4 linked regions of the Caenorhabditis elegans genome follow. The protein of the gene in region 1 purifies or fractionates together with the protein of each later gene. This does not show direct contact. Each region holds a gene or a part of one and is shown in the gene's direction. Other genes may lie near its edges.

Evidence for each region.
Region 2: the proteins of prx-12 (region 1) and scl-2 fractionate together in Caenorhabditis elegans (co-fractionation; one large-scale study listed by BioGRID). This does not show direct contact.
Region 3: the proteins of prx-12 (region 1) and F08F3.4 fractionate together in Caenorhabditis elegans (co-fractionation; one large-scale study listed by BioGRID). This does not show direct contact.
Region 4: the proteins of prx-12 (region 1) and acox-3 fractionate together in Caenorhabditis elegans (co-fractionation; one large-scale study listed by BioGRID). This does not show direct contact.

What each region holds. Positions count from the first base shown.
Region 1 is NC_003284.9:11,390,946-11,395,731, forward strand, and holds prx-12 (Peroxisome assembly protein 12), read left to right. Parts: upstream 1-2,347; 5' UTR 2,348-2,355; coding exon 2,356-2,496; intron 2,497-2,545; coding exon 2,546-2,654; intron 2,655-2,701; coding exon 2,702-2,895; intron 2,896-2,939; coding exon 2,940-3,154; intron 3,155-3,199; coding exon 3,200-3,517; intron 3,518-3,565; coding exon 3,566-3,623; 3' UTR 3,624-3,674; downstream 3,675-4,786. Other genes in the region: prmn-1 (PRoMiNin (5-transmembrane domain glycoprotein) homolog), read left to right, coding at 1-135, 185-381, 428-593, 645-734, 784-893, 1,007-1,081, 1,411-1,462; slo-2 (RCK N-terminal domain-containing protein), read right to left, coding at 3,754-3,901, 3,964-4,051, 4,322-4,445, 4,501-4,623, 4,672-4,755. UniProt on the Caenorhabditis elegans protein: Component of a retrotranslocation channel required for peroxisome organization by mediating export of the PEX5/prx-5 receptor from peroxisomes to the cytosol, thereby promoting PEX5/prx-5 recycling.
Region 2 is NC_003282.8:13,055,260-13,059,888, forward strand, and holds scl-2 (SCP domain-containing protein), read left to right. Parts: upstream 1-2,450; 5' UTR 2,451-2,462; coding exon 2,463-2,636; intron 2,637-2,687; coding exon 2,688-2,825; intron 2,826-2,995; coding exon 2,996-3,207; intron 3,208-3,639; coding exon 3,640-3,739; 3' UTR 3,740-3,803; downstream 3,804-4,629. Other genes in the region: scl-1 (SCP domain-containing protein), read left to right, coding at 1,132-1,299, 1,445-1,582, 1,630-1,847, 1,903-2,002; scl-3 (SCP domain-containing protein), read left to right, coding at 4,369-4,411, 4,463-4,599.
Region 3 is NC_003283.11:5,408,883-5,414,249, forward strand, and holds F08F3.4 (L-threonine 3-dehydrogenase, mitochondrial), read left to right. Parts: upstream 1-2,072; 5' UTR 2,073-2,231; coding exon 2,232-2,475; intron 2,476-2,533; coding exon 2,534-2,711; intron 2,712-2,760; coding exon 2,761-2,993; intron 2,994-3,557; coding exon 3,558-3,827; intron 3,828-3,909; coding exon 3,910-4,061; 3' UTR 4,062-4,119; downstream 4,120-5,367. Other genes in the region: C25A6.1 (Serine/threonine-protein phosphatase), read left to right, coding at 353-481, 552-627, 674-747, 793-933, 984-1,061, 1,109-1,189; F08F3.10 (uncharacterized protein), read left to right, coding at 4,529-4,538, 4,742-4,827, 4,876-5,001.
Region 4 is NC_003282.8:6,244,639-6,251,062, reverse strand, and holds acox-3 (Acyl-coenzyme A oxidase acox-3), read left to right. Parts: upstream 1-2,570; 5' UTR 2,571-2,583; coding exon 2,584-2,682; intron 2,683-2,726; coding exon 2,727-2,858; intron 2,859-2,904; coding exon 2,905-3,072; intron 3,073-3,232; coding exon 3,233-3,374; intron 3,375-3,426; coding exon 3,427-3,748; intron 3,749-3,909; exon of another isoform or gene 3,910-3,930; intron 3,931-4,059; exon of another isoform or gene 4,060-4,081; intron 4,082-4,225; coding exon 4,226-4,326; intron 4,327-4,373; coding exon 4,374-4,470; intron 4,471-4,518; coding exon 4,519-4,692; intron 4,693-4,794; coding exon 4,795-4,909; intron 4,910-4,959; coding exon 4,960-5,501; intron 5,502-5,552; coding exon 5,553-5,664; 3' UTR 5,665-5,705; downstream 5,706-6,424. UniProt on the Caenorhabditis elegans protein: Involved in the first step of peroxisomal beta-oxidation by catalyzing the desaturation of fatty acid-derived side chains of ascaroside pheromones, which regulates development and behavior.

The sequences.
Region 1 (4,786 bases):
TCCTTGCGAACAACTATGGAAAATATGCCGGAAATTCGTCCGCTTGATGCATTCATTTCAAGAAGCGAACTTCGAGATTTGGAGAAACTCGCCTCAGTGAATGTTTCAAAAGTTAGCCAACAAGGCCTGAATGCGGTTTGTAGATTGGAAACATAATTGAGCAATTTTTAACTTTGAGTTTCAGATAAAGCATGCAATGGATGAACTCGACTTAGCATCCAAAACGCGGGAATTCGAGGAATCTCTAGACGCAAATTCGGGTCGTCCTAAGGCAGTGACTCTTGTTCTTGAACAAATCAGAGAGTTAGAGATTCAATTTGCGAAACCATTAAGGAGCAGATTAGAGGCATTGTACTCTAACATTACTTCACTCGATGAAAAGTGAAAATTCTTTAAATGTTGAATTCCTATAAAATACTTATTCCAGACTTTCTCAGCTTCAAGTTCCTGTTTCTTCTCTTCTTGTAAAGCTTCAGCATGCTCAGGCTTTACTGGCTGAAAACATGAGAGAGCATTTCGGTCGTGCAGCTAAAGAAGAATTCCAACAAATGGTTAACAACATCGACCAGTACATAGTTCATGTCAAAAGCCAGGTAATAACGCAAAAGTGTTTCAAAAAATTCTATAATTGCTTGACTTTTCAGATGGAGAGCGAGGTCACGTCATGTCAACCGTTGACACAAATTGCCCGGCAAACAACTGCTGCTGTTTGTGCTTACACAATTGATCCATATGTAAAAATGACACAAAAATTGGGGAACTGTTTTCAATTTATAATTTCAGAACGGGACATGGATGTGTATGCTGATCTGCCTAGTTCTGTTGATACCAATTGTGATAATTTCAAACTCATTAATAGGTTTATACTCTAAGATGCACGCGTTCCCAAAATAGTAAGTTTCACAATTTTATTTAAAGAAAAGTGTCACAATAACTTTAGCTTAGCCATTTTTTCGAAAAATAACCCTTAACTTTGCAATTTTGAATATAATTTTATATATTTCAGCATTGTGGAACCACCATCTGAAACACATCACATGTCATCGTTCATTACCGATACATATGACACTAGGCCTAAGCCGTAAGTTAGCATATTAATATCAATTGGAATATTTTTTGAAACTACACATTTTGAAATGATCTTTCAAATACTCGGTATCAGAAATAAAACGAGTTCAGTTTGAAACACAAAAACCAACAATAAAGATCAAAAAGTTGATGTAGCAAATTACCAACAAATACTGTTTTAGAAAAATTTTGCATTATTACAAATGCGACAAAAATGTTTAATGTTTGCCAGAACCCAAAAAATATTAAATAATGAAAAAGTAACAGCCCTGCTATTGAAATCTGGATATGAAAAATGTTCTAAATATAAATTCAAATGTTTCAAAAAACTATTTTTTTCAGTGGATACGCAAACTACACCTACACAGATGATTATCAACGTAATTATCGATGAAGAGCCTCAGAAAATGTATTATCACAATTGCGCCTACTTAATTAAAAAATGCATGTATTTATGTCGACAATTCAGTTGAAATTTTCTTTCATTTCATTTGATCGCACCTAGAATCTACGAGTATCATTTTCCCATTATTCATTTCTCCCAGTCCCATGTTCTTTTTCTTAAAATCTACTCAAGTGAACCGCTCAATTCTACGCACACAGTTTTTCTATTCAGTGCCATTTTTGCATTTCCGTTTTTTCCTCAAATTCGATCTTCAGTTGTTTGACTTTTTTTCAGTTTCCGTAACTTTTACTGATAGAATTATCATTTATGTGATGATTCCCCAATTGCGGTTCGTATTTGAATAAAAACATTAAACCACCCTCCACGTTGGTTCAGTTCTTCCAAAAGCGGATTGAAGTTGATAAGAGTTAAGATAAGAACAAATGTTGCGTGCAAACAATTCGTGATTTATTGTTTTTATATTTAAAATAATGTATATAGTTGTCCACGTTTTGGTGTCTCTTTAAAAAAATCATAAAGAACTAGCACGCACCGTAAAACTCACTACAAATAATTGAAAATCCCATTTATTTATTATTCATGCATTTATTAAAGAGTCGTTATTTTCATTGTATTTTGCATCAATAGATCTACAGTTAAGAAAAGCAAAGGTTACATTGTTGCAATTCTAACCCTCCACATTTCAATTACTATCTAATCGTGATAAGACAAGGACACACTACGTCGTAGTATGATACGGACAGTGTCCTCGCTCCTCCGGCAATCGATGGTCGTGTTCAATCATTTTCATATCTCTCCTTTTTTTTGGTTTTATTTGTAAATTTTAATGAGTATAATCTCAACAATTTCCTCTTATTTTTAACTGAAAAATTTAGGAAATAATGAGTACGACTATTCGTGCCTCGCAGCTGGCTTCGTCAATTTCTCCAAAAACTGAAGAAAAGCAGCCATCGGTTTTTGATATAATCGCTCAAGAAAATCTTGCAACATCAATCAGACCGGCTTTACAGCATCTTGTAAAAGTATGTTAAGAATAAAAGTGAAACGAATATTTGAAATTGAACATTTCAGTATCTAGCATTCTTCAAGCCAAAAACATTTCTTTCGGTTCACCGAAACTTTGATGAATACTACATCATATTCGATCTCATTTTGCAAAACCACTATTTGAGAAACTATGGTACGTTTTTTAATTCCAATTTTTCACCTAAAGATAATGTGTTTCAGGAGCGTCGTTCACGGAAAACTTTTATTCTATGAAGCGAATAGCATCAGGCACAGGAAATCCACCGAACGATGGTAGGGAAAGAATAATGTCGCTTATTACATTAGTCGGATGGCCTTATGTAGAGAATAAATTGAATCAGCTTTATGACAGGCTCAAGGAAGTTTACGAATGCAGAAGCTGGTCATCAATTAATGTATGTATAGACAAATAAATTTGAAATATCGTTTATAATTCCAGGGCATGAAAGCAAAGTGTCAAAAAATGTTTGTGATCATTTGGCCATACATCAAGACAGCTCTTAAGGCAGTGAAAAGTGCTCTACAACTTGCATACATTTTGAACCGCAGCTCCATTCACTCGCCATGGCTTTACTTCTCAGGCGTGATTCTGAAACATCTTACGCCAGAAGACTTGGAAGCTTTCAATGCTGTTCCTCTTCATCTCCAAACTGGGTATCAAATTTCTAGAGGAACATTAAACGAACATATTCATTTAAGATTCTTCAATCGCATCTGGAGATTTATTTTGGGACTACCTGGAATCGTTTCAAGGCTCTTTGCTTATGGGCTCTTCTTTGTACAGTTTTTGGATTATATGTACAACACAGATTTGGCAAAACTTACAAAGACTGGCCTTGACGGAGCTATTCCTTCACCTCCACACAAAATGATCATATCTGAATCGGAAATTTTGAGTTTGGACACCAATAAATGCCCAATTTGTTTGAAGAAAAGAGTTAATGATACTGCGCTTTTTGTATCTGGATATGTATTCTGCTACACATGTATCAACCAATACGTAAACACTTATAACAAGTGAGTTTTCTTTATTTTAAACTATCAATTATTTGAGAAAAATTTCAGATGTCCAGTGACAGGATGCCCGGCAAACGTTCAGCATTTAATCCGTTTGTTTGTATAGCGCTACAAATTTAATTTTGAATCATGTTACGACAAATAAAATTACAAAAATATTCATTTTTAAAACACGAGCAAATATTCCAGCAAATTCAACTTTTCGTTGTGTTGGGCATTGTACAAAAAACGCAAGTTTACAAATTATTCTCATCAATGACAATTGTTGGGACTTGATTTGTTGAATCGATGGTTTCACTAACATTTTTACTGCGTCTTAGACCCCTTCTTGGGTTAATTCTTGCGTTGGTTGCATCTTTCCGGATTGGACTTCTGATTACGTAGCTGAAAGTTCATTTATGAGTTCTTGATCAAAAATTCATCTGAAATAGAATTTAAAATCGTACACAATATCTCCGGACTCTAGTTCCAAATCTTGAGCAGGATTGATGATGACATATGAGATTTGCGACTTTTCATCGCTTCCTTCGAGCACTGAAATTTAAAATACAGTTCACCACGTCTAACCGCACCAAGAAAAATGATCACACTGAAGCAATTAGAATTAAACTTAAAGAATCTTCAACCTTATTATGAAATGAAATAAAAGTAAATAGTAAGTATTAAAGTAAGTTTTCTAATTTTATTTTGTCTGCTGGTTCACACCACTCTTCGGCTTATACCTGTTGATCTGCACCGGCTAGCATATTTCCAATTGACTAGAAAGGGTTTAAAAATAGAAAACTAATTCCGAATAAAACTTACAAGTATGAGTGTCTTTTATATTAAGAAGTCTCATTCGATTTTTCACATGATCATACATATCTTTGTTTCTTCCCATTTCAGTGTTTTCAAAATCTTTGCATTGTTCTTGAAGATCAAGGGATACCTGAAAATATTAAAAAAAAAAACAATTAGTCGATACTGAGCAGATTTGTGTTTACCGTCTTAGTGTCCATCTTTTTGGTTCTGAAAATACCGATAGGAATATCAGCCACAGAGGAGCATAGTTTTTGATACAATCGTCCATAATTCCGAATCCATAAGTCATCCGATGTGATAACAAACTGAAATATTTATCACATGAAGGTTCACTGCAATTAGTTTGATTGTACCGAAGTTAAATATCCGCCATCACTATGTTGATCAATTCCAAGAAGAAGTCTGACTAGATCAACCACAAACGGTTTGATAATAGCCTGAATATATTACGTTTGAATATGCGGAAAT
Region 2 (4,629 bases), on another chromosome or scaffold:
TACAAAATGAATGACTAAAATGAATAAATATTTTATTTGAAAGATAATAACAATGCAAGCGTTTTCAAACGTGCGGTATAATTGTTTCTGACTCCAATCATTTAGACCAAACAAAAAAATCAAATGATGATTTCACAAAAACTACAGTAGCAATAGTTCCATCTTCCCTTTCGATATCCCAACCATCGGAACAATCAAATTCTTGAAAACCGATTCTGAAATTGGAAATTGATACCGTATTTCCTATGTCAGTTTAGCATCCCTACAGATTTTTAAGTAAATTAGAAATTTATTCACTTGTTGCCAGACCTACACATTGTTTGAAATAAATAAATAAATAAATAATTTTTTTGCCAAAGAACAATCATTTTTCCTTTTTACCACTAATACCTGTATACTTTTTCTCGGCGTACTTCGTCCCATCGACTAACTACTATTTCATTCAACACCACTACCCAATCTCTTATTTTGAAATCATGGTCCAAGTGGAATCTTCTCAATTCTTTCATGTTTCCGTTTAATCAATTACGGATAAAATGATTCAAGTATTCTGGAGTAAAGCTATGGTTCCATATTGTCAGTTCTTCACACTTCATCAATTTGAAGTCCTCAAGTGTAAATCCTGGATTGAAGTAAGAATCCAGTCGGCGAATATTGAATAAGTTAAATTTAAAATTACAGATAAATTACGATTTAGTTTATTATAATTATTAATATTAATGAGGAAATCAGTACTTACTATATTTTTTGTCAAAGTATAAAGTTTTGTTAATAAAGTTTTGTTCCAGTTTTTTGCTTGATTCTCTAGTAATTATTCGAGTACAAACCAGGGGTGGGCGGCAAATTTACCAAATTTGCCGAGTCGAAAAGTGTGTGGGTTTGAAGCCCGATAGCATAATATTTTCAGTCCGGCTGATCTTTTTGATATCCGTAAAAAGCTCAATTTGTTGTTGTTATTGACCAAATCGTTTGGATCATTTATGAGTTTTCTCTACAATGGACAAAAATAAAGATTGTTGTTGTTTACGTTTTGCAAATATTAAAAGTTATTTGAAAATCTCGTACTTGATTAAAAAACTCCTCTCATAAAAAGCAGCACGTTTGCAACTTTAAATCATAATTTTGTTTGCCATGTACTTCATTCTCTGCCTCCTAGCAATTGGTGTCAATGCTCAATTCACTTCAACTGGTCAATCAAGCATTGTGGATGCTCATAACAAATTGAGATCCGCTATTGCAAAGAGTACCTATGTTGCGAAGGGAACCAAAAAAGAACCAGCAACTGATATGAGGAAAATGGTAGGTTTTAAATTGCCCAATTATGTCAAATAAAAAACTTAAAGTTTTCTTTTTTCAAGAGTTTCAAGTCATTCAAGTTGGGGTAACTTTTGGCAATCATATTTGAACAAAAAGCCCAATGATGATACTTCAATAAACTTTTCAGGTCGTGGATTCCACCGTAGCTGCGTCGGCTCAGAATTATGCGAATACGTGCCCAACTGGACACTCAAAGGGAACTGGATATGGGGAAAATTTGTATTGGTCTTGGACTTCTGCGGATGTTGGATCCTTGGATTCCTATGTGAGTCGCATAACTTTTCTGGGACAGAAATCAATAATTCTTTCCAGGGAGAAATCGCCGCTGCCGCATGGGAAAAGGAATTCCAAGACTTTGGCTGGAAGTCTAACGCAATGGATACCACCCTATTCAACAGTGGAATAGGACACGCTACTCAAATGGCTTGGGCAAACACCAGCTCCATCGGGTGTGGAGTCAAGAATTGTGGACGAGACGCATCGATGAGAAATATGAACAAAATAGCTGTAGTCTGCCAGTATAGTCCACCGTAAGCACTGAAGTTTTTGATTTTTTTTAACTCAAAATTGTTCAAAAATATTCAGAGGAAACACTATGGGACGGCCGATTTATAAGGAAGGAACTACGTGTTCCAGCTGTTCCGGATCTACTAAATGTGACACTGCTTCTGGGCTTTGCGGATAATGAGAGATTTCACTTTTTGTGTCTGTAATTTTTTAATTTATTTGTTTTGTTTTAATCTGGGAATTAATTTACTAATGAAGCATTTGTTTTTTCTTGGTGATTATATAAAAAAAATAAAGCGAAAACTTTAAATTACACCAAACTTTTTTAAAATTTACGAAAATGCACACAACATCAAGTGCAGGCAAAAGTAAAACATTCTACTTGCCTATGTGCCAACAACAAAATTAGGAAGAAAATTCACTTCTTCCTAATCAGAATACTTGTTGACTTGACTCAAATGTTCATAATTACTGATAAAAGTCAATTCTTTGGTCTTGTGCTGCCCACTTCCGATCATACGTAGCTTACGATTTCTCAATTATCATACAATTTTACAGGTTTTCGCGTGATAAGACTCCTATAAAATGAACCGCAGTGATAAACATATTCGTGTTGACTTGCACTTTTTTCTCCAATTATGAATTACTTGTTGCTGGTTGTGGCGCTTGCTGTTGGCTGCTCCGCTGATTTCGGCTCTTCCGGACAAAACGGAATTATCAATGCACATAACACTCTGCGGTCTAAAATTGCAAAAGGTACCTACGTGGCAAAAGGAACTCAGAAATCGCCGGGAACAAATCTGTTGAAAATGGTATGTACATAACTAAGGTTCTCAGATTTATTTTTGATTTCAACTTTTCAGAAATGGGATTCCGCAGTCGCCGCATCCGCCCAAAACTACGCAAACGGGTGTCCGACGGGACACTCTGGAGATGCAGGCCTTGGGGAGAATTTGTATTGGTATTGGACAAGTGGATCTCTGGGAGACCTCAATCAATATGTCAGTCATTTAGTCTACCTTGTGCCTGCCTGCCTAGACCTACTGCCTATTTTGTTCAAATTTTGCCTAAATACAACATGCGAATATTGGCAGTAGGCAGGAGGCAGGCGCTTGATACCTTCTTTATTTTAAAAGTTTCTGAAATTTCTATAATCAATCTTTTCATTCAGGGATCTGCTGCGTCGGCATCATGGGAAAAAGAATTCCAAGATTACGGATGGAAGTCTAACCTTATGACTATCGATCTCTTCAACACAGGAATCGGACACGCGACTCAAATGGCGTGGGCGAAATCCAACCTGATCGGATGTGGAGTCAAGGATTGTGGAAGAGACTCAAACGGCCTGAACAAAGTAACCGTCGTGTGCCAGTACAAGCCGCAGTAAGTGAGATTTGTTGACTAGTCTATGTTGACTGTGTCTGCGAATGTTGTGTTTTGTGTTGTTCTCTAGGATAGGTTTGCAAAAAAGATAAATTTTTGGTCACGTTCCCTGAAACAAAATCCAAAAAATTAGGCAATTTTCAACAAATTTTGATCATTTTGAGGAGATCATTAAAAACAAAAAACCCAATAAAAATTATACAAAAATACGAAAAATATTGTTGTTGGCGAAAAGTGAACTGTGCTTCGACAACTGGTAAAGTAGTCTTGAACACTTTGTGAGTTAGGATTTTTCTGAAGAGTAAAAAGTAGTTTTAGGAAAATTAATTTCAACCGAGACAAAATTTTTAACATAAAAAAAAATTGAAAAGTGTATGTGCGAGAGAGCCCTGTTGAATACAAGCTACTGTTTGCTAATACATCAATTTTCAGAGGAAACTTCATTAATCAATACATCTACGTATCGGGAGCAACCTGTTCCGGCTGTCCATCAGGAACGTCATGTGAGACTTCCACAGGGCTCTGCGTCTAAACTTTAATAATGCAATGTGTTTTCAAACTTTCTGTAGATAATAAATAAAATTGTGTGCTAGTTGAAAACCAGAACACAAACAACCTTTGATCAAAATGCCTATGTAACAAATGCGACGATTACGTGTTCGAAATCCTATTGGCAGATTTGGAGTATAATGAGCAGTTAGAACTTTATTGGGAGGTCAAAGACTACTTGTGTCTAGAGATGTATCTAAGTTATGAAAAAAGTTCAAGCTATAGGTTTTTTGACTACGATATCTTGTATGTATTTTCAAAGATGTTGGTGATTTAGTTGAAAGTTAACAGCTTGAAAACGTTTTTATTTTTCCGTTTCTGACTTCCATGAATTTCAAAAAATTACCGTATGTCTGTATTGTTACTATCTACTGTGTGAAATTTCAAAAAATGAAATCCAACTTCAGCCTCCCTTTTGTATATAAAACAAACAATGTCAACATAAAACTCTTACCAATTTAGTCTATTTCTATTAAAGCACACGTTCTTTAGTTTTTTCCCTCTTCCCATGACTTTTAGTTTCCCTCACGGCGACGACGACATCCAGTTGTTCATACAAACTAAAATCTCCTATAAATATCCAACCTACTAGTTGTATTTTCAACAGACAACATGCACACCTTTACTCTTCTCGTTTTGGTTACCCTTCAGATTGGTAAGTTTTTTTTTTGGAAATTTTTGAAACTAATTTTCTTCAATTTTTCAGGAGCTTATGCTCAATTCAGAGAAAGCACTCAACAATTCATTGTGGACCTTCATAATAAGCTTCGTACTTCAATTGCCAAGGGAACATATGTGGCTAAAGGGACAACAAAAGCAGCTGGTAGTAATCTTTTGAAAATGGTAGGTTTTCGGCAGTTAGTTACTTTGTGA
Region 3 (5,367 bases), on another chromosome or scaffold:
TAGGATCAAAAATTGTGACGCGCCAGAATTAATCATTGACACAAAGAATGCCAAAACAGGGGATTTTTGCAGAGACCGCTTAGATTTTCCAAAATAAGCGTACACATGTGATAAATAAATGTGTTTTCAAAAAGAAACATATTTATTGTCCATCACATATTGCTCTGCAAAAAAGTGCGCATCTCTCAAGTATCAAAGTGACAGAAAGTTGATGCTGCTCCGATGAGCTGTCAAATTTGAAAAATGACGTCAACTGGAGTGATGGATCTTTTGGACGTTTATTTCTCTCTCCCGATCTTCCAAATCCCATGGCGTGAACTTCTTTGAAACATTTTTCAAGTCATGATTCCAGGTGAAATTCCCGGGCAATTTATTCTTGTTGCGTGGAAACCATGAGTGCGAGTTTGTCAACAAGGTATATGGATTCTATGAAGAGTGTCAGAAACGCTATCAAAGTGTTCGCATGTTCACGGCTTTCCAGGTAAATTTGATTTTTTACCAAAATTGAACAATAAGGTGCAATATTAATACAGGAAAAACGGTACTTTCAGGACGTATTCAATTGGCTTCCACTCTGCGGACTCATTGCTAATAAGATCTTGTGCATGCACGGAGGACTATCGCCTAGTATGTCAAAGGATTTCACTTTGGACAACCTGAGAAAAATTAATAGGCCATGACGGCAAGGAGAGACTGGTAGCTGATCTTTTGTGGGCCGATCCTATTAGTGGTCTTTCTGGGTTTATGGTAACTTTCTGATAAGAAAAGATCGATTTCATCAACTTTATTCAGGAAAACAACCGAGGTGCCGGGTGTGGATTCGGAAGAGATGCTGTTCTGAAAGTGTGCTCCGATTTTAAGCTTGACCTGATCTGTCGTGCCCATCAAGTTGTTCAAGACGGTTATGAGTTCTTTGCTGGTCGGAAATTGGTGGTATGAGTAAAAAAAAAGTGCCGAGAGAAAGGAACATTAAAAATTTTTAGACAATCTTCTCGGCTCCTCATTACTGTGGTCAATTCGACAACTGTGCTGCCTTCATGTCTTGCGACGAGAAGCTTCAGGTAAAAATTTTTAATTGAAATGTTGTAATAAATGTGCATTCTTACAGTGCTCGTTCGAAATTCTCCGTCCAACGAGTGGCCGCCTTGAAGTTCGCGAGAAACCATTGCTCAAGGATGAAACAAACTGATGGATGGCTGATTCATAATTTCCTTCAATAAATGAATAGACAAATAAATGTGGTTTTGATATTATTTGTAAAATAATAATTTAATGTTTAAAAGTAATATTTGAAATTTGGCCAACAACCTGCCCAGCCAGCTTGACAAACAACGACACCTTTCCGGTAGAAATTTTCACCAACTTCCCGTCTTTTTTGAGAGAAATATTGCAGTGGAGATCTTAACAGTGGTGATCCCAACAGTTATCCCAAAACTAGAATACCACAACACTTTAAATTTTTAACTGATTTTTCAATCTTACCAGTCTATGTTTTGATCTTTTTATCCAAAAAATTGAATTTATTAATATTTTGAGAGACCTCAATTAGTTATATTGGCTTCAGATCCTACATTTTTCAATCATCGTGACTAGCTGAAATTTCTAATTCGGATAGTCCAGCCAAGGCAAGACGGGTGTCATATGTTAGACTTTTAATCATACAGTCACGCTTGTTATTATATCATCCCACGTGGCATCTAGTCAGTCACACTACTATTAGTCACTCTACTTACTCTTATAATTTTTTCAAAAAAGCCTACGAAAATCTTTAAAATCTGAACAATCTGAGTACATCCGTACCAAAACTGTATCCCAAAGTAACTTTTTAACGAAACACGTGTTTGTCTCTAGGTATGCGTTGGGAACAAAAAAGGTACATACTTATCTTTGATTCGTCTCTCTAGCAATTGGGGGGGGGGGGGGGACAGGCCTTCAGCAGGCAGCATCCGTCAAATTGCGTGATAATTGAATTAGACAATGACCACGTGTGGGAAGAGGACAAATGAGTGTATGTCTTCGTCGTCGTCGTCATCAAGTTATAAGATCAACCCTCCACCCATTTCGTTGAAATCAGAAGGCGTCGATGTCTAAGTCTCTGATCAGGCGACCTCACTGGTTCCTCTTTTAAGAAAATTCCCACATAACTACACTTGATTTGATTACTCATTTTTCTAACTGTTAACTTTTTTGATTATCAACTGTTCTTCGTCTGCTTCCGTGTCACACAAAAAATGAAAAACTTGCGAGTTTTTGGAAGAATTCACAATGCCAGAAGAAACTATTCACCTTTACCAGTTGATCCTTTATTACGGTTTAAAACAATCAGTCAAACACAAAAAGCTCCTCGAGTTTTAATCACTGGATCTCTTGGGCAGCTTGGAAGAGGTTTAAATTCAGTCTACAAGTACATGTATGGATCTGAATGCGTTGTTATGAGTGATATTGTTCGTCTTCCTGCAAATGCTACAGATGTTTGTAAGTTGAAACTGCTTTCCATATTTTCAACAGAAAATTAATTTATTGTGTATTTTAGCCGACTACAATTACCTGGATATTTTGAATCAAGGATCTATTGAAGAAATCGTTGTTAACAAAAACATCGACACAATTGTTCATTTCTCTGCACTTCTATCAGCTGTTGGAGAAACAAATGTTCCGTTGGCTCTGCAAGTGAATTGTAGAGGAGTTGAGAACATTTTGCAAGTTGCTGCGTAAGTTCCTACTTGTATTGGACTATATCTTGACATTGTATTGTTTCAGAAAACATAAGCTAAAAGTGTTCATTCCATCCACAATTGGAGCTTTTGGACCAACAACTCCAAGAGAAAACACTCCAGATCTTACAGTACAATGTCCTACAACCATTTATGGAGTCAGTAAAGTATATGCAGAACGTCTCGGAGAATATTTCAATCATCGGTTTGGGGTTGATTTCAGAAGCATGAGATTCCCGGGTATTATCTCAGCGACAAAGCCAGGTGGTGGAACTACTGGTGAGTAAAATTATATAATAATTAAACGAGAATTTGAAACTTTTTTCCTTTAAAGATGAAGTACGGTCAATTCTAAAATGACCAAATATTATAATAAAACTTAGAGAAAAAAATTTGAAAAGGTGAAATCTCAGTTTTCACCTATCTTTTGCAAGTCGTCGATTAAAAAATCAGAAAAAAATTTCTTACAGCTGTTTGATTATGTTGAAAATGTTCATAGTTCAACATTGGGATTTGAACATGCAACAATGTTTTAGATTTTTTTTTTTTGAAAAATGGCAAAACTCAGTAATTGCCACTTTCTGACTGGCAATAAAAATTTTCCAAAAACTTTTGGAAAAGTTTTACTATGAAATTTGGTCCTTTTAGCCCTATATGAATGGTTTCGAATTACTTCCCAACTAATTTTTGATACGACCTTTTCAATTAGAAAGGTTTTGTAACACGATTAGAGATAATTTCCTTGCAGACAAACGGTATCAAAAAGTGGTCAAAGTTGATCAGTTGATACATTTTTGAAAAGAATATTTCTCACGTACACAGTCAAAACTATCCTCCTTTCAGACTACGCAATCCAAATTTTCTACGACGCTCTTCAAAAAGGCAAGCACACCTGCTACCTTCGACCAGACACACGTCTTCCAATGATGTACGACACTGATTGTATGGCTTCAGTCATTCAACTTTTGGCTGCTGACAGTCAATCATTGAAGAGGCGAACATACAATGTAACGGGATTCTCATTCACACCAGAGGAAATTGCTGATGCAATTCGAAGAGTGATGCCAGGTTTCGAGATTGATTACGATATCTGTCCAACAAGGCAGTCTATTGGTAGGTGATATATGATCATTTTTGCAAGTGGACTTGCAAAAAGAAATACCTCTTTTAAAAAAACTAAAATAATTTTTTTCAGCCGATTCATGGCCTATGTCATTGGATGACAGTGAAGCACGTAAGGATTGGGGATGGAATCCAGAATATGGTCTCGATGAAACTGTTCAAGTGATGTTCGCATTGCTGCGAAGAGAAGAAGACAAACCTACAAAGATTGTCAGTACTGCATAAAAACTGGTTATTTAGGCATTAATAAATCATTTGATCTACTTGTTGCAAAAATAAAAGTGATAGAGAGAAAAGTTTACACTTGGAACGGATAGAAAGTATCAATGGGTGCAAAATGGGTGTATGACACAAAAGCAAGTGGTCATTTGAACAGCATTTCAGTTAACTGTGGGGTTATGAGAAGAATTAGAGTGCAATTCATGAACACGGTTGTATTTTTGTCAGCAATTTAAAAATTGACACTTGATTATTCAGAAACATCAGTTGAGATGAAAGAATATGCGAAAATCGAATAAAATTTATTAGATGTTAGTGATACATAAGGTTGAGAATTAGAGTGAGAAACAACAATGTGATTGAAATGAAATGATGGTGTAACAGTTGTCAACTGAGCTCAACATTCTCTGCTCCACTCTTCGTTTTGTTTCTGCTTTGAAGGTTGTAGCTGGGAATCATAATTTACAACAAAAATGATTTCAGGTAAGTTTCACACATATATTTTATATATCAAAATATAAAAATGTTTTTTTATTTCTAAAAAGCAAATAATTTAGTCTAAATTTAAAATTCTTGGGTTCTTACTTTTAAAACGTTTTTTACAAACCAAACCAATTAGAGCAACTAATTGAGACATATTTTCATACACAATTTCCATAATTTACGTTCAAAATTTTTGTTTTCAGGAAATCCATATTTAAACATTCAAGGTCCTTTTGGAAACTTTTCAGAAAATGAAAAAAAGCAGACTTGTTTTAGGCTCCGTATTCAGGTTTGGCTTGCAATTTATTTTTTTGCTTCAGAAAATTTAATTTTTCAGACCTGGGTTTACATACATTGTGGGATCAGTATTGCTACCTCAATAATTGGAATCACGCTTGGAGTATTACTTTTGGTCAAAACAGAATGGCATGAGAAATTGTTTATTTATAAATTGACGTTTGCAGTAAGTTTTTTTTCAAATATTTAACTTCAAAAGTGGAGAAAAGCAATTCGGTATTCTGATTTAAACCATAGAAAATGGACCGTAATGGGCAAATACAATTGCCAAAAAATTGAATAAATAATTTTCCAAAAATGTTTTTATGATTTTTCAATTTTTAAAAAATAAAAAGGGCTAAAAAAGGAAAAACGTTTTCTGGCTTAACTAAATGGATTTTCGCTAAAATTCGAGCACAATCCATGTAAAATCTGTTTGAAACCAAAAATTGGATGTGGGCCGTATTTGTAAATTTTTTATGTGAAGCAGTTTTCGAGCATTTAAAAAATTTAACAAAAACCAGTGCATTTTTGTCCAAAAGCAGAAAATGCT
Region 4 (6,424 bases), on another chromosome or scaffold:
ATATCCGCCTTCTTTAAACATTTGGGTGCTAATAGAATTACATGTGGAATTGCTTCGCGAGTGACCGAGGGTTTCTTGAAGTTGAATGTATGCCTCCATAAACTTGTTTCTGTCAAAATCTAAGGCAAAAGGGCGGCCGGGGAGTGTCATTCCACAATAATCAACATGTATATCAGATATACCATGTGGTTTGAAATTGAATGGTGATTTATCATAAGAGCCATTGTACGCGTCAGAATCAACAAGACCAATGAAAATTCGACGGGGCATCTTGCTTGTGAAGAGTGTGTTAGCCGGCGCGTCAAGACGTCCAGACTCTATATAGAAACTGCGCACCTGTGAAGATATTAGAGGATATTGGATTATTTTGTGCTCAATAATGGAGCTCTCTAGAGCATTAGATAGACCGTCGGCAAGATCGAATTCGTTAACCAGAGCGTAAACGTCGGTTATTTTGAACTGAAACTCTGTGTTGTTGTCGCGATTGTAAACCTCAATCAAAAATTTACTATCATTTGGGTAAACTGTAAGTTTCACATTACAACCGTTCAAGAGCACTCGCGGCTGATTCATCAAGTCAATCGAAATGTTTGCCGCAACTTGTATTTCGTCCTGGTTGTAAATTGAGGCACAACGCTGTTGAAACCCAGGACTACGGTGGTCGCCAATCACAGGGTCATGATAGAAACCGGCCGCGGTTAGAGTGGAGTTTTGAATTTCCTTCCCGTACATTAAAACGTGTTCAAAATAGCTCTTGTACGCATAGTTTGACGAGTTGTGAAAAGCTAATTGTGAATTAATGTGTAGTGTGAAATTTCAGATCGACTAGTTTTCCGGTCACAACTCGGATCCCCGTTTTCAATGCACAACTTTACGATCCACACATTTCAACGTTTTATACACTAATTAATGCCAGAAACTTATTCGCAACATTGGCACACATGAAGCAATAATTAATAGGCACACACGGTTTTCAGTGAAATTCCTCAATTATTCTAAAACGGGGGACCAACCGAGAAATTTGCAAAAATGCGCAACTTTAAGTCTTTTGCACAACTATTCCCACTATACTACTAACTTACTCTAATTGCTTGATGTTTAAGCAATAAAATAACAGAAAAATAACATAGTATGATATATTGCATAAAAGAAGATAGGACCGCCACCAAGCAGTCGAAGAAGGCAGAATGAGTGATTTCTTCTTCAGAAAATGGGCGGGTTTGTGGCTTCTCTGACTCTCTCAAAAGCTCAGAATGTGTGACGTTAGAGCTAGAGATTATTGAAATGTAGGAGGTTTTGAGAGATTAGCAAAAAAGGAAAAAAGGATTAGAAATGTTTTCAAGCTCTTCTTTATGCCAAGATCATGAAACGAAAGACTTGTTTGAGAAGAGGGAAATAAGATTATGAAATTATGAAAAAAGATGGAAAATAAATAGTTTTAATTGTATTTCAATCATGCTTCAATTGGCCAACTCTTGTGTTCAAATTTAAATTAAACAAAAAAATTATTATGCTGTTTCACGAATACTATATGAACAGAGGCATTTTCTCTGTTTTGATATTGAAACTTCAGCTGAAAAAAAGATCTCGTAAAAACAGTCTTGATCATGAATTAAACTAATCTCTTCTTGTTAATGTTAGTAATGATAGAAAAATATTGCCTGAACTTTGTGGTTCCACTTATTTTAACTTATAAAATAGTGAAACGCATCTAGTAATTCGAAGAAAAAGCAAACTCTCTATTGAGGTTTTCAACAAAATCACAAAGTTGGCAATCACATTTTTTTCCAAATTCCACAAAATTGATGAGTAGGTTTTATCGGACACCTAATATAATTGCTCAAGTCAGAGCAAACCTATTATTATTATCAGTAATTTCAAGTTTTGGTAGTTCAGCCAAAATTGATTTCGGGAAAACTATGAAACCGCTAAAAATGTTTACATCAAAGTCTAAACTGCAAAAATGTTGGAAAATATTGTAAAAGTATGAAATATTGAAGTTAAAGTGCTAATAATTTTTAATTTAATTTTAATTTAATTTAATTTTTATTTTGACCAGTACGCTCCTGGAAATGTGTTACCCCCACTTTCGCCAAAACTGTATTTAGAAATTTTTTAGCGTATTTTTATTTAAAAACATGTTTTACACTTATGGAAATAATACTAAATTTTTTATTATCCACTACGTTGTTTTAAACTATTTACTTGTCCACATTCTCTCTCCGAGCCCACTTTAAAACAAGGAAACATGAATTTTCTGTAAAATTTCAGTTAATTTCCTCTGACCCTTTTTACAAACACCAGCTAATTACAATCTACTACGATAATTTTAAAAGACCATTCCTCCCCCTATTTATACAATACCACCACGCTGTAGTCAGACTGTCTTCGATCTCTGCGTCTCTCAATTACTTTCTATTTTCTTTGTTTTTGATAAGACTACACTCTTCCTACCCAGTACATATGCAATTGCTTTTGTCTTAATTTTGTTCAGTTTATTTTAACATATATTCTGCTGAAAATAAAATGAATCTTTTGAATTTAAAGGATTTATTTAGTAAATTTTTCAGTTTCAGATCAAAAATGAGTGCTCCTTTAATTGACAAATACCGGAAAATGGCAACTTTCGACTGGAAAAAATTGAAAGCAGCCGTTGAAGGAGAAGAACATGTTAGACTGAAGGTATAGTAGATTTTGGATTTATAAAATATTTATATATATTTCAGTCAGAAGTAGTTGCTAAAATGAAGTCAGAACCAGTATTTCACAGAGATTATCGAGTATTGAGTAGAGAAGAGCAAAGAGAAGTTGTTCATCAGAGATGGAAGAAAATTGTCGAATGGGGGTTGTTCAAAGATGTATTTCTTATTAAATTGTAGATTTTCAATATATTCGAATATTCAGCCGTACTCCGATCTTGAAAACTTCCATGCATTGACTGAAACTCTTGAAGCTTATGATCAAGGCACATCTGCAAGGCTTTTCCTCCACGGAAATGTTTTTGGAGCAGCTGTTAAGTCAATGGGAACAGATAGACATAAGGATTTGATTCAGAAAACTGAAAACAATGAGGTGAATTTCAAAGAAAATAGCATACAAAATTAAGAAGTACTCAAGAAAAAGAAAAATCAAAACAAATTTGAAAATAATTTATTCTAAAGAAATTTAAACAAAAGCGCATTGTATTCAAATCTGGAAAGTTTAGGTTTCCTTGCAAAATAGCAAATTTCAGATCGTCGGAGCATTTTGTCTGACAGAAGTAGGCCATGGTTCAAACACTGCTGAAATTCAAACAACAGCTACATTTGACAATGGAGAACTTGTTTTCAATACTCCAAGTGTCAGTGCAATCAAATGTTGGGCTGGAAATCTCGGTGGGTTTTAAAACATTTTTAATTTTAAATTTAAAAAAATCCATTTTTTTAGCTCACTCGGCCACTCACGTAGTTGTTTATGCTCAACTTCATGTCGAAGGAAAGAACGAGGGATTTCATGGATTTGTGATTCAAGTTCGTTGCCCTAGAACTTTCCAAACTCTACCAGGAATTACCATTGGAGACATGGGCTCGAAACCAGGATGCTGGCAGGGAGTAGAAAATGGCTGGATGGAGTTTAAGAACCATAGAGCTCCTCTGAGTGCACTTTTGAATAAGGGTTGTGATATTACTCCGGATGGAAAATATGTGACAAGTTTCAAATCTGCAAGTGAGAAGCAGAGTGTCAGTTTGGGAACATTGTCAGTTGGAAGGTATGTTTTCAATACTTTACGACGCCGGCCGTATAGAAAAATTTTTTAATTGAGTGAAATTTGTATCTAAAAGAATTTCTGTTAAAAAAATCAGGTTCTGAAGAATTTCTAGCCGCTGTTTTACCAACTTTTTAAATGTGTTGTTTTTTTCTCAGTTTTAGTAGATACAAGATGCAAATTTCACGGCCGAGCCTTATTATCAATAAAAGCAAAATCTCAAAACGAATCTATTCCAGCTTTAATCGATACTTTTAAAATATGAATTGATTTTCTAGAGTGAAGCCATTGTATTTAATACAAATAGAAATAATGGAAATGGCATTCTTAGGACAATTCGAAATTGTAAAAGCAGACGAATTCATAAAGTTGGGAAAACAGTGCAATCTATAAGTTTTTCCGATTGATTTTTTTCAAACAAAATACTGTTTCAAAATTCAAACTTTACCAACAATGGTTTCACAATAACACAAATTTCAGACTCGGAATTATCGCAAAAGGAATGATGGCTTGCACTTTTGCATCTACAATTGCTATTCGATACAGTGTTGCTCGGCGACAGTTTGGACCAGTAAAAGGCGGTGAGCACCATTCCTTTTCTCAATTTCTCAACTTTTGTATAATTCAGCTGAAAATGAGATCCCAGTTCTCGAGTATCCACTTCAACAGTATCGTCTATTCCCGTACCTATCCGCTGCAATTTGCATTAGAATATTCCAGAAGAAGTGGGAACTCTAAACAAATTGTTTTCAATAATTAGTTAAACTTTATAGGTTTGTCGGACATTTCACTGAATATATGATGAGAGTCATAATGGGAGAAAAGTCAGACGAGCTCTCCGAGTTCTCAAAAGAAGTACATGCATTGTCGTCTGGAGCTAAACCGGTTGCAACGTGGCTTGGTGTAGAATCCCTTGGAGAAGCTAGAAAAGCTTGTGGAGGTCATGGGTATGTTTCCTAACATAACCTGAAACTTAACTTTAAGAAACTCATTTTTTGAGAATTCGTCTTTCTATTTTTTCCAGATTAAAGTTAAAATTTAAATTACAGATACCTACAAATGTCACGATTGAACACCCTCCGAGATGACAACGATCCATCACAAACATTTGAAGGAGAAAACTTTATGATTTTGCAACAAACCAGCAATATTTTGCTAGGAAAAGTAAACTTAATTGTCAGATTCTTTAATCATATTGAGATTCTGATGTTCAGGCTCAATCAATTGGATCCATTGAGACCCCGATGTCTACTATGTCATTCTTGAATCAAAAACCTTCAAAGTTCTCATCATGGTCTTCGAATCCAGTTAATGACGTGTTGTCTGCGTACCGATATCTCACTTATCACTTACTTCAAACAACTTCGGCAGAAGCTTACAGACTAAAAGCATCTGGAAAGAATTCATTCGAAGTTCGAAATGAAATTCAAATTCATAGAGCTGTCAATTTGTCTGTTGCATACACAGAACATACAATGATCCATTGGGTTCAACAGTTCTTGAAAGAAATTGAAGATCAAAGTGTGAAGCCGGTTCTTCAAAAAGTTTTGAATCTTTTCTCACTTTTCCTTTTGGAAAGACATCTTGCAACTCTTTATATTACTGGATATGCTTCTGGTGGAAAGTTTGGAGAAGATCTTCGAGAGAAGCTTAGACTCGCTGTAGCCGAATTAAAACCCGAGGCCATTGCTTTAGTGGACTCGATTGCTCCAGATGATTTCATTTTACATTCAGCTCTGGGAGCATCTGATGGAAAGTCAGTTTTAAAATGTAAAGGTTTCTGCTGAACTTTAAATTTGATTTTCAGAGCGTACGAGCATATAATGGAAGAATTCCGGAAGTATACAAATGAACAACCAAGATGGGTTTGCGATTTGGCTCAGTTTTTGCAAAAGAGATCACAAGGATCCAAGCTATAATATTTCACAAACTGTATATTTCCCAATAAATCCAGTTTTTGAATAAATTCAAAATATACAAACAATTTCAAATTTCTTTGAAAGCTAAAATTTTTGCAAAAAATAAAAATCTAAACGTATAAGCAAAGTTTTCAGATTTATACATATCGTCGACGTGAAACGGCAAAATTTTTTAAATGTTTAATTGAAAAAATTTATTAAAACTTTGGTACCCGGATGTCAGGAAATGCTTAAAAGGCTTCTAACACTGGAAAATAGTTTCTCATTTAGAACCAAAACGATAATGTTGCGTTAGTTTAAATGAATTTATATGATTAATGTGAAACGGGGAAAATTTAAAATAGTGATAGCGCCCACGGGGAAAATGTTTAAAACTATTTATTAAGTGCCAAAAATCATTGTAGAACTTTCACAATGTATTTATAAAATAATATTTATATGAAATAACACCAAAATTTAATTTATTTCCACGCCAATTTCTAATTTTACTTTAAAAACTGTTCTCACAATATTATTGTATCAATGTTGTCGCGAAGTCGATGAATACAAAGATTAACTCGCTCACGACTTTTATTTTTAATTTCTATTCTCCACGTGATAAAGAATCCATTTCACATATCTGGAGAATTTATAAATTTATCAACTCTCATTAATTTGCTAATTGGCTTGAAAGGGTTGTGCATCAAAAAGGTCTTCCGTTTGAAATTCTTCGCACGATGACAAATAATTTCAAAAATACAATTTTCAAAACTTAAAGTTT